3 linked regions of the Caenorhabditis elegans genome follow. The protein of the gene in region 3 purifies or fractionates together with the protein of the main gene of each other region. This does not show direct contact. Each region holds a gene or a part of one and is shown on either strand. Other genes may lie near its edges.

Region 1 (3,754 bases), 7.4 Mb from region 3:
AAATGAATCGACTTTTTCATTTATATAAAACTCAACAACTAAATACTAACCAATTGGTGGAATTTCTCCCCTCTTAAATATATCTTTACACTTATCCAATCTAACAACTTTTCACCTCGTAAACAACTCTCAATCCTCCCAATTTTCCTCTCCAGGTCTCAGTGATTTTCGATCGGAATTTCGACCCATATGCGAAACGGGTTCGCTCTTTTTTCATGTCTTTTCTTCTTTCTAGCTGATTGCAAGAAAGTAAATCGAGATTTTGACTATGAATTGAGCAAGAGAACTCTGGAATTCGCAGCGGCTGCGTATTCCATCGATCCGGAACCTTGCATCTCGAAAAACAATGCGACTTTATTGTTTTTCAAAAAGGTGGAGTGCGATTATATGCGTGACGAGGTAAAAGATCATGAGATCTTTAAATATTCAAAAATCATCTGATTTAATTTTTTCCAGTGCTGGAGTGTGATTGCTGCCGACAACGACACAATATTCGTCAGTTTCAGTGGAACAAAATCGAAAGAGCAGCTGGTAACTGAACTTATCGAAAGCATTGGTCGGCCAAAGCACAAAGTAGGCTCATGTTTCAAGTGTTTGTCTGAGTACTCACAGAGCAAAGAAAACTTATTTTACAGTTGCACAATGCTGGATCAGTTCATTATTACTTCTACTCTGCTCTAAAAACAATGTGGTCACCAATGGAAAAACTACTGCGAGGACTGAAAGACTCACTTCCAGATCATAAAATTGTGTTCACAGGACACTCATTGGGCGGAGCTATTGCAAGTATTGCATCGACTGTTTTCGTTAGAAACTTTCCCGAAACGTCGAGTCGAACCTTTTCAATCACATTCGGACAGCCTAGAGTTGGAAATCTCGAATATGCCATGACACATGACAAATTAGTTGCTGGAGGAAGCTGGAGACTGATTCATGGAAGAGATATTGTGAGGGAGACTAATATTTAAGATTTTTTTAATGCTTTATTAGGCTCAAAATGCACCCAAATGAGCGAATTTCGTAATGAAACTTCTCAAACAAGTTCGAAATTTTTTTCTGGCGGTTCAAAATATCCTCTTTCAAAAGACTATTAAAAGTTTTTTTTCTAGGTTGCACATATTCCGTTCTGCGTGGAAAGCTATGCCAGATGGTGTATACCATTCTACAATCATGGATCCTATCACCATGGAGTCGAAGTCTGGTTTCCTGGAAACATGACAAGTCAAGATACGTTCAAAGTTTGCACCGGGACTCCATTGAACGAGGACAATTTGTGCAGGCAAGTGACAGTGATCGAAATCACGTGATAAGAAAATCTTCTCTTACAGCAACACTCATCGCTACTTTGACATCAACGATCACCTGTTCTACTTTGGACACCACGTCTCAGATTACGGTGTTAATGGATGTGTAGACCCACCGGATGATGAACCATTAATAAATAATGAAAATGTTTAAATAAATTTAAAAATGTTGATTGAATTGCGATTCTTTTTCTCGTCGTTTCAACTGTTGAAAAGTCGGTTTGAGAGAATATTCTCGCTTCCGTGTGTCACGTATATTTTCTCAGGACTTTCTTTTTATTGGAGAGAGAGAGGAGGCGCCAAAGAAGATAAGACACCCGCGAACTCGAGTGTAAGAAGAAACAAGGGAGGAGAAGAGAGAAAGAAAGGGATGGTTGAACACAGAAAATGAATTGTTGGTTATTTTTCTTTTCGTTTTCGGTTTCCTACTTTATTGTTATGGAAGATTGTGTCTACTTTCTTCCCATTCATAACACGAACCTTCTTTCTTTCTTTCTCTCTATCATTGCCTGTTTTTCTTTCTCTCCGGCGCAATAATATTATTATTGATTTCTTAATATTTGATTAAAATGATAAGCCTTTGTCTTCGGAATCATTTTGATAAGAGACGATATCATTTCGGCTAGAAATGTTGCAGGAGAACGAGATGCCTGGGCCAGCCGGCGTACCGCAGCGCAAAATGACGTATTTCGTGCCGAAGAGTGGTCAGTTTACTTTAAAAGAGGACTTACCATTTTTTTTTGCTCTTTTAGACTCGAAATGTGCCCAAATGAGCGAAATTTAAAAAGATAGTTTATTTCACATAATTTCAATTAAAATTGATTTCCGTCCGTTTCGACATGGAAAATTTGGCAAAATTGAAGATTTTAGCTAAAATCAAATAGCCCATTTTTTTTCGAAATTTTGAGCCGTTTTGGACGCATTTTGAGTTGAAAAAGTGCATAAAATTGATCGATTAGCCCTATTTTATTTTCATTCCACATTGTCTTCTCAAAAATCTCAATTTTCAGACAACTCAAACGAGCAGGTTCGAGTTCCAAACGTCATCGCACTTGTCGGACTGCCGGCACGTGGCAAAACATACATCTCACACAAACTGTGTCGTTACCTCAACTGGATTGGAATTAAGACCAAAGGTTGGTCCTGATTCGATTATATGTACGACATGAAACAAAAAATCAAAATTACAGCATTCAATGTCGGCGAGTACAGAAGAAGAGCGTGTAATTTGGAAGAAGAAGGCGAAAATGAGTTCTTCTCGCCAAACAACGCCAGAGGTCAAAAGATCCGAGAGTGAGATTTTACGAAACTATGAAGAAAAAAAATTAAAAAAATTCCTGAATTTTCAGTGAGTGCGCGAAATTAGCCATTGAAGATATGGGAAGGTACTTGGATAACAAGGAAGGAGAAGTGGCGGTGAGTTACAAAGGAAAAAATTTCAAAAAAATATATAGACATAAACTTTTTATTCAGATTCTCGACGCGACAAATACTACAAGAGACCGACGAAAGCTTCTGATGGAGTTTTGCAGAAATATGATGCACGAGCCACCATTCCGTGTCTTCTTTGTGGAATCTGTTTGTGATGATCCTGATATTATCAACTCGAATATCACGGTAACCTTTAGATCTTCAAAATAATCACCTTAACCCGCATATTTTCAGGAAGTGAAAATCAATTCGCCAGATTATAAAGGAATAATGTCTCAAGAGGAAGCAAAAGAAGACTTTTTGAAGCGTATCGAGAACTATCGAATGCAATATGAGCCACTTGATGAGGATCATGATGAAGAGCTGAGCTATATCAAAGTTATCAATGCCGGAAAATCCTTCTATGTTCACAATGTTAATGGTCATGTGCAGAGTCGTGTTGTGTATTTCCTGATGAATATTCATCTTCTTCCAAGAAGTATTTATTTGTCAAGAGTAAGTTTAACAAAAAAACCGAAAAAATTTTGCGCTAAAAATAGGTAACAGGTCTCGACGCGAAAATTTTTATTAAATGCCAAAAAGTGTGCGTCTTTACAAACTACTGTAGTTTCATTTTTTTTGCTGCCGAGTTTTCATTGAGTTTCAGTTTTCTCACGATTTGCTGTAAAAACGTTTTTATTTTTTATTTCACTTTTTGATAAATTAATATTTTTTTACCAAACAAGCTAAGAGAGCCCGTAAAAAAACTTGAATTTTAACAAATCGTGAAAAAAAAAGAAAATCAATGAAAATTCCGCAGCAACGAGAGTTTGAAATTACAGTATTCTTTAAAGGTGATGCCTTTTTTCATTTAACAAAAATGTCGTGTCAAGACCGGACACCGGTTTTTTTGGCACAAAATTCCGTTTCTGGGATATAATTCATTCAATTAACAGCACTGAGAATTATCAAGTATTTTTAAACTTTTATAGTTTAAAAATCCCTTTAAAAAATTTATTACAGCATGGAGAAAGTGAGTA
Region 2 (3,754 bases), on a different chromosome or scaffold from region 3:
CATAAAGGTTTAATAAAAACTGTATTTTTCACATTTATTCTTTTGCGGCAAAAAAGCGTGCGACCCCGATATTTGATAAGTTTTATTTGAAAAGTCTCCAACCATTTAAAACTGAACACCAATAATTATGATATCTTCAATAAAATCTACTAACGACATAGAATGTCAGACGGTTTTGGGATTTGGTTGATTTACAAAGTATGTGTTGCAAAAACCGAGAAGTTCACATTTTTTGACTGAAACAAGACTAAAAAAAGGATTTGCCAACGTTTTTATTGCATGCAGTCATTTTAGCTAAAAGTAATTTTTCCTACTGGCGCAACCCAAGGCTGGAAAATCTATTGGGCAGCCAAGCAAATTGGCAACAGTTTGAGTTTTTCAAACCAAAAAATTGTCTCACATTAGCCCTGCGCAATAGTAATTTTTATTTCGGTCTGTTAACCATTAGAAACATGATATTGGACTTGTCTTTTCTCCCGATTCTTCATGGTTTGACTGAAAATATATGTATTTCAATGATAGTTTTCTGCTATACACTATTTCAACACTCCAATTACAAAACAAAAATGTCACGAGATCTCTCATCATTTAATTTTTCGAAATGAAACGTAATTTTTGATCTTGCAACGATGCTATTAGTGACCGTCATTTCCATTGGCAAGGCTGGGTCATAGCTACTTGAGAACAAGTTCTCTTGAATCGACAATATCAATTACGAGAAAGACCACTTCTTCTCGCTCACAAATTGTTTTTATTTTTTTTATTGTTTGACATTACAGATTAAGAAATGATGAATCTTTCAACAGCTATTATCTCTTGTTTATGCATTGGAGTTCTTAGCTATGAAAATAAGTTTCAATTTACTGGAACTGTGTATTGCAAAAGTAACGCCCCATGGTGTGTAAGAATTCGTGTTATAGAAGTTGATACATTGTGAGTTTTATCAGATTAGCAAATGTTGCATACATTGAGAGAAATTATTTTCCATGGTAAAAATTTAAATTTAGAAAAAAAATTTAAATTTAAATTTAAATGTAAATCTTCTATGTATTACAAACACATTTTAGAGTCGACGACGGAGTTGCCTCAGTTGATTTTTGTTCAAATGAAGTTACTCAAACTTACGATATTGGAGGAGTGCAAGAAAATGATGGACTTCTGGACGTAGGTTTTAAAAATTGAATTGGTAACAAGTCAAATGATTAGAAGCAAGTAAAAATAGTGATTCAATTTTTGGCAAACATGCGTAAACGTTGGAGTTTAAATTTTTATTTATTTAATAGTTCCTTCATATCAATAACATTATTCCACAGTTTATTTTATTTTCCATGATTCTCATATTTTTTGTCAGTGTTAAATCACAGTAAAATACATATATCAGTTAAGCTGTTACGTAGGCAATAATACTAAAATGCTGGAAATTTTTTTTAAACTATAAACAATATTTGATAAGAATTCCAAAAAAAATTTCAGCGTAATTTTGAACTCCAAATGGTTGTATTCCATAACTGCAGTCGCAACACTGAAACTGTCTTCAAAACGGGAATCTGGAGAATTCCGCTTCCGAAGGCTCCAACTGTGTAAGTCAAATAAAGTTTAAATAAGCTTTAATAGAACTTTACTTTCAGCTAAATTCAATAATTTTTTCAGACACGCTCCTATTCGCCAACATTTGAACTTGAATACGAATAATTCACAATAATTTTACGATCTTTCACAATTTTTTTATTTTGCTTCTTTTTCGAAAATAAAATTCAAGAATCAGACTAATGTAAAATCAGCGATTTATACTTTTACAAAGCAATTACATGCACCATATCGAAATCTTGCAAAATACTGCATAAACTACGGGATTAGCGGTGGGGTTTTGCGTCCTCAATAAATAGCGTGTCACCCAGTTGTGTGCGGCATAGTGGCAAAACACCATGCGGCGGGTTGCATGGGGGAGGAGTCTCACCGAAACCACGTCAAACTGCGGTTTATTAACCAAATATTATTAACATTTATTGTTTTTCCGTGGTTTTTTTTTTGCAATATTTATTTGTATTTTTCAAATATTAAAAGGTATATTTTTATTAATAATTTTCAGGCGGATGTGTACATATTTCCACCTAAAATCATGCATGCGGTGACAAAAATCTTTATCATTTTCATATTTGTATTTATTTTATGGACGCTCTACGTAGAAAATGATATAACAAATGTAAGTTTTTATTTAATTCGAAAAATATATAAAAACCAAGCTTTAGAGAACCAGAAATACGGATAATATTGATGATTTACTGGAATCAGCGAATAGATTGGAGCGGTTATTGAAGTTTGAGGCAAAGAAGATTGCTGCGTTGGCGGAAGATGTGCACAAAATAAGGGCAAACAGGAAGGGAAAACATGTGATAATGGAAGAAATGGTAAGGGTTTAAATTTTGAAATTTCAAAACTGAATTCAGAGTTACAATAAATCTATTTTTGCCATGTGAAACTGAATTGATGCTAACAGGGGTTTCAATGATCTTCGAGAGTAACTGCGAACTCCAAATTTATAAAAAAATTTTTAATAAAAAATGTACCATTTCAAAATTTCAGGTTTCTCAAGATTTGAAGCAATGGAAAGACCCCATTCCGGTTTTGGTATGCAGATTCGGAGTTTCTTTTCAAAATAATTGAGTTCTTTCCAGGTTTTCTCCTGTAATCGTGCGATGGCAGTGAGAGACCATGTTGAGAAACTTATCAGGTACCTTTCCATAGTTATTTTTGCAATAATTTTTATTAAGTATGTTTCCAGGTACCGACCAAGTCAGGAGAAGTTCCCAATCATTGTTACCCAAGACTGTGATAATGAAAATGTGAAGAACGAAGTGAAGAAGTTTGGAGACAAAGTGGAGTACATTAAGGTAGATTTCAAAAATCTCTGTCTGCAATCTCAATTTCATATAATTTCAGCATTTGGCCGGCGATAAAGCGAATATCACAATTCCACCCAGTCACCGACAGTACACCGCTTATTACCGCATAGCACGTCATTACAAATTGGCGCTCAATCACGTTTTTGTTGATAAGGGCTACTCATCAGTCATTATTACAGAAGGCAAGGTGATCATTTGATTTCATTTTAGATAAACTAAAATTACAGACGATCTCGACATTTCGCCAGACTTCTTCTCGTACTTCTCAAGTACGCGATATTTGCTGGAAAACGATGAGAAATTGTGGTGCGTCACTGCCTGGAACGACAATGGAAAAGTGAATAATACAATCTTAAATTTAATTGACTGTTGCTGAAAATATGTTTTTTCAGCAAGAGAATATTGACATGACTGCGGCTTCTACGTTGTACAGAAGTGACTTCTTTGCAGGACTTGGCTGGATGATGTCTTCGTGAGTTTCGGAAAATTATTTTTACTCATCAGTCATTATTACAGAAATATCATGTTTTTCTGAGAATAATGAAACTAGGGAGTTATAAGAATTTTTCGAAACTATTTTGTCTGTCGAAATCTGTAACATTTTCGAAAGGCTTAACACTTTTTTCCAGAGAACCGAACTTACAATTTCAAAAATTACGATTTTAATTTCTGCAAAATGTTTATGCTAATTTTGAGCTGTGATTTTTTTATATTTTCAGGAAAACGTGGCATGAACTAGAACCAATTTGGCCTGTAGGATTTTGGGATGACTGGATGCGAGACCCTGCACGGCGTAAAGATCGTCAATGCATCCGACCTGAAATCAGTAGGACAGGGATGATGTCTTATGG
Region 3 (3,754 bases):
TCGAAAAATTGACTCGAAAAATCAAATTCCCAGCTGCAAATGCGCTCTAATGCATAATTATCAATAGAGCGCACTTGCAAGAAGTCCTATGGATTTTTTGGCGGGAATTTGAATTTTTGAGTTAAAAACTGCGAAATCTTGATGGAAAAATTAATTTTTTGAGTAAAACTTCCTAAAATATTGATTTTTTCTGAATTTTTCGAGTTTTCAAGCACCTGCGCGGTTCTGTGCGGCAAATAGAGATCATTTTCACGATCGTACTCCGCGTGAAGATGTGTTGTGTAGAAATTGACGCGCAAATCGCCGTCAATCTCGATTTCGGTAAGCCCGACAACTTTTCCGCCGAACCAGTCGCCGCGGTGAATGTGATGAGCGAATCCGTTGAGAGAATATCGATTTGTTAAAGTGGATACGATTGGGTGTCTGAAAATATGGAAAAAAATTGGAGAAGATTTGATGAAAATTCGGAAAAATTTTTTTTTTTGGATATTATATTATATTAAATTTTATTAATATTAAAAGGATATTATATTAAACGTAATTTTGTTCAGTTTTATCCTTTTAACCCAAATATTCCACAAATTTCTAAAAATTTAACAAAATGTTTGAAAAAAACCGAAAATTTTTTCAATGTGAACAAGTGGCGCAGTGGGATTTTCGATGGCTACCACCAAACTGAAGACCGGGGTTCGACCCCCCACGGTGGCAACTATTTTTTGTTTTGCAGAAATTAGATTCTAGACGTTGTAAAATGAGCAGGAAACTGTTTTTAGTGAAGGTTTAGAGTTGAGATTTGGATTTTTCGAAAAAAAATTGTCATATTTTCAGAAAAAATTACATGTTTTCAGAAAAAATTTTTAAACTAATTTTGTGGGAATGCTAAGATTTTTAAGTTAAAAAAAAAACTTTTGCAGCGTATGCACAATAAATCAAAAAATGTTGCCTTAGTGGGGACTCGAACCCCGCTCTTCAGATTGGTAGTCGGCGGAAATCCCACTGCGCCATTCGGACAACTTTCGGAAAAAGTAGGATTTTATCGATTTTTTAAATCTTTTTGTAGAAAAAATCACCTAGAAAACACACAGACACCACTGCCAGTGAATCCCGAGTGAAAATAGTGAAAATACGGATAAACCGACGAGACTTGCTCGCTGAGTCGCACAAAATCATAATATGACCAGAGCTCCTGGAGCCCGACAATGTCGTAGAGCTCATCAATCATGTATTGGCCGATTTTATTCAGTCGGTGAACTCGATCCGTAGATCCGATGGGCCAGGGTTGTGGGAGACACCACGCGTTAAGGGTAACCACACGGAGTTGACGAGCAGCCACGTTATCTGCAAAAAATCGATAATTCGGGAGGGAAAATCGTGAAAAATTAGATCCCTGATTGAAAATTAAGCTAAAATACGCGCAAAACTAGCGAAATATCAATATTTTGATTCAGAAATTTGAAATTCCCGCCGATCCTGCTGCAATCGCGCTCCAACGACAGTTTTCTCATTGGAGCGCATTTGCACAGTGCAGTCGGTAGAAAATTCAAATTCTTGGGTGAAAAACTTGAATTTCAGCCGTTTTTTTTCCAATTTTCTCACTTCTTCTCAACGCGGCGAATGATTCCCGGCGGAAAACCGGCTCCATGTCGACTTTCTGACTTTCCTGGGACTCTTGCTCGCTGGATGGCTCCATTAGCCTGGAATATGGGCTTAAATTCGTGTTTTGAAGGGCAAAATAGGTATAAAAAGGTTCGAAAACCTCAAAAAACACTAGAAAGAGTCTAAAAATCACATTTTTTCAGGAAAAAACAAGAAAATCAAAGAAATGTAACAAAAAAACCATAGAAATCTCCTAAAAATCAAATTTTCAACAAAATTCAATGCTGATGAGATCCGAGTTGATCAAGTACTTGATTATGTGCCAAATGACCAGAATCGTGTGCTCCGCCACCTCCATAAAGCGTAGATTGCACAAAAGTCACGAAACGGTCCAAGCTCATTGAGCCCTGAGACATGGGCTCCGCAGACTTGGCGTGTGTCGTGAATACCTCGATGACGGGCTTCTGAAATAGGGGAAAATTGGCTTAAAATTGTGTTTTTTTAGGCTGCAAATGCGCTCCGATGTGAAAATTATCATTGGAGCGCATTTGCAGTAAACGAGCAGCGGAAAATTTGAATTTTTTGCTGAAATTTTCAAATTTTCGCCTATTTTCTCCCGTTTTTTCGTGGAATTTCCGCTTTTTCTTTGCTGAAAAAATGGAATTTTCGACCGTTTTTACCTGCGTAGCAAGACTCCGCTCCGTCTCGTTCGCAATAACGAGAATAAATGGAATTCCGAGTCGATTTGCGTCGTGAATTCGCTTTCCGGCCGACATTTCCACACGATCGTCCAATAAAATGCCTCCTTTTAGATAACGAGAAGCCGACGAGCTCGCCATTTCCACAATCACATTCGACATGAGGCTCTGCAAGGAAAATTGGTTGAAAAATTAATTTTTTAAACATTTTAGAGCAAAAATCGCCAAAAAGCGTCAAAAATCATCTCAGAAATTCACATTTCTTGTCGATCACAGGTTGCAAGTGCGCTCTAATGATATTCTATTCGTTTTTTCTCCAAAAAAATCATTTTCAGTAGGGAAAATCGAAAAAAAAAAATTTAACACGAAAATGGCAGTTTTCTCAATGGAGCGCAGTTGCGTCATGCGGTCGGCGGGAAATTTGAATTTTTGAGTTGAAAACTAAGATTTTATCGAATTTTCTGGATTTCGCAGTGAAAAATCTTGATTTTTCACGATTTTTTAGCGAAAAATTCGATTTTTCTCAATTTTTTCTCCAAAATTGCTCACTTTCTTTACAATAATCACAGCATCGAACGGAGCGATAGCTCTGGGCAGTCGGAGAGCCTTATCACTAACTGATAACAAATCAATTGCCGCCGGAAGAAGCCGTGTTACACCAATTCCAAAACAGCACATATCCAATGGTTTTCCTTGAAATTTGGCTCCGAGAGCTTCTGAATATTTGGTGCCGAGGTGGAATGTGTGCGCAATTTCGACGGATGGGATTTTTTGCACAGTTTTTGATGAATTTTCAGCACATTTTTCACATTTCGCCGGCCCTGGACCTTCGAATTTGTTGTGATTTTTGCAATTTTCGCAGAAATTCACAAAATCCTCCTCCAAACTGCTTTTCAGGTGATATTCATGACTTATATGACCTCCATGTACTCCGGAATCTGCTTCCACCTGAAAAATTTTGGATTTCTGTCGTTGGGGCGCGTTTGCAGCAAAATTTAAGCCTAAAATTCAGATTTCCCGCGGATCGCACGTTGTAGATGCGCTCTATCGACAATTCGCAATAGAGCGCACAAGCGACATGCGGTTGGCGGAAAATTTGAATTTTTGGGTTAAAACTCGAGTTTTCAACGATTTTAGACTAAAAATGAGTCAAAACTTGCCAATTTTAGCTCAAAATTTTGAATTTTTGAGTCTAAAAATCGATTTTTCTACTTTTTTTAAATGAAATTTTCACCTTAATCACATCCTCGTCCAACTGCAAAATCTCTCCAAAAATTCGATCATAAATCTGACGAATCTGTGCATATGTTTGTTGAGATGTCTCCGCATCAGTGGAAAACGAATACATATCCTTCATTAGAAATTGACGCCCACGCATTAATCCGAATCTCGGATTCATTTCATCGCGAAATTTTTCACCGATTTGATAGACAATAAGGGGAAATTGTGATTTTTTGAGC

Evidence for each region.
Region 1: the proteins of T27F6.6 (region 3) and pfkb-1.1 fractionate together in Caenorhabditis elegans (co-fractionation; one large-scale study listed by BioGRID). This does not show direct contact.
Region 2: the proteins of T27F6.6 (region 3) and gly-13 fractionate together in Caenorhabditis elegans (co-fractionation; one large-scale study listed by BioGRID). This does not show direct contact.

The regions. Positions count from the first base shown.
Region 1 is NC_003279.8:5,129,590-5,133,343, forward strand, and holds the start of pfkb-1.1 (6-phosphofructo-2-kinase domain-containing protein), read left to right. Parts: upstream 1-1,930; 5' UTR 1,931-1,932; coding exon of another isoform or gene 1,933-1,950; coding exon 1,951-2,008; intron 2,009-2,314; coding exon 2,315-2,440; intron 2,441-2,494; coding exon 2,495-2,597; intron 2,598-2,653; coding exon 2,654-2,720; intron 2,721-2,777; coding exon 2,778-2,921; intron 2,922-2,969; coding exon 2,970-3,230; intron 3,231-3,737; coding exon 3,738-3,754. Other genes in the region: Y110A7A.7 (Fungal lipase-type domain-containing protein), read left to right, coding at 190-399, 457-573, 636-947, 1,110-1,279, 1,329-1,458.
Region 2 is NC_003284.9:9,294,958-9,298,711, reverse strand, and holds the start of gly-13 (Putative alpha-1,3-mannosyl-glycoprotein 2-beta-N-acetylglucosaminyltransferase), read left to right. Parts: upstream 1-2,089; 5' UTR 2,090-2,119; coding exon 2,120-2,203; intron 2,204-2,249; coding exon 2,250-2,408; intron 2,409-2,583; coding exon 2,584-2,628; intron 2,629-2,675; coding exon 2,676-2,731; intron 2,732-2,782; coding exon 2,783-2,891; intron 2,892-2,940; coding exon 2,941-3,085; intron 3,086-3,130; coding exon 3,131-3,240; intron 3,241-3,295; coding exon 3,296-3,375; intron 3,376-3,622; coding exon 3,623-3,754. Other genes in the region: B0416.7 (uncharacterized protein), read left to right, coding at 791-933, 1,068-1,164, 1,474-1,580, 1,651-1,702.
Region 3 is NC_003279.8:12,488,916-12,492,669, reverse strand, and holds the start of T27F6.6 (Putative neutral sphingomyelinase), read right to left. Parts: upstream 1,695-3,754; 5' UTR 1,691-1,694; coding exon 1,597-1,690; intron 1,339-1,596; coding exon 1,071-1,338; intron 424-1,070; coding exon 216-423; intron 1-215. Other genes in the region: pars-2 (putative proline--tRNA ligase, mitochondrial), read right to left, coding at 1,875-2,060, 2,277-2,462, 2,844-3,242, 3,529-3,754. UniProt on the Caenorhabditis elegans protein: Catalyzes the hydrolysis of sphingomyelin producing a ceramide (N-acyl-sphingoid base) and a phosphocholine. C.elegans contain specific sphingoid bases, which are unique or different in structure compared to the sphingoid bases found in other animals.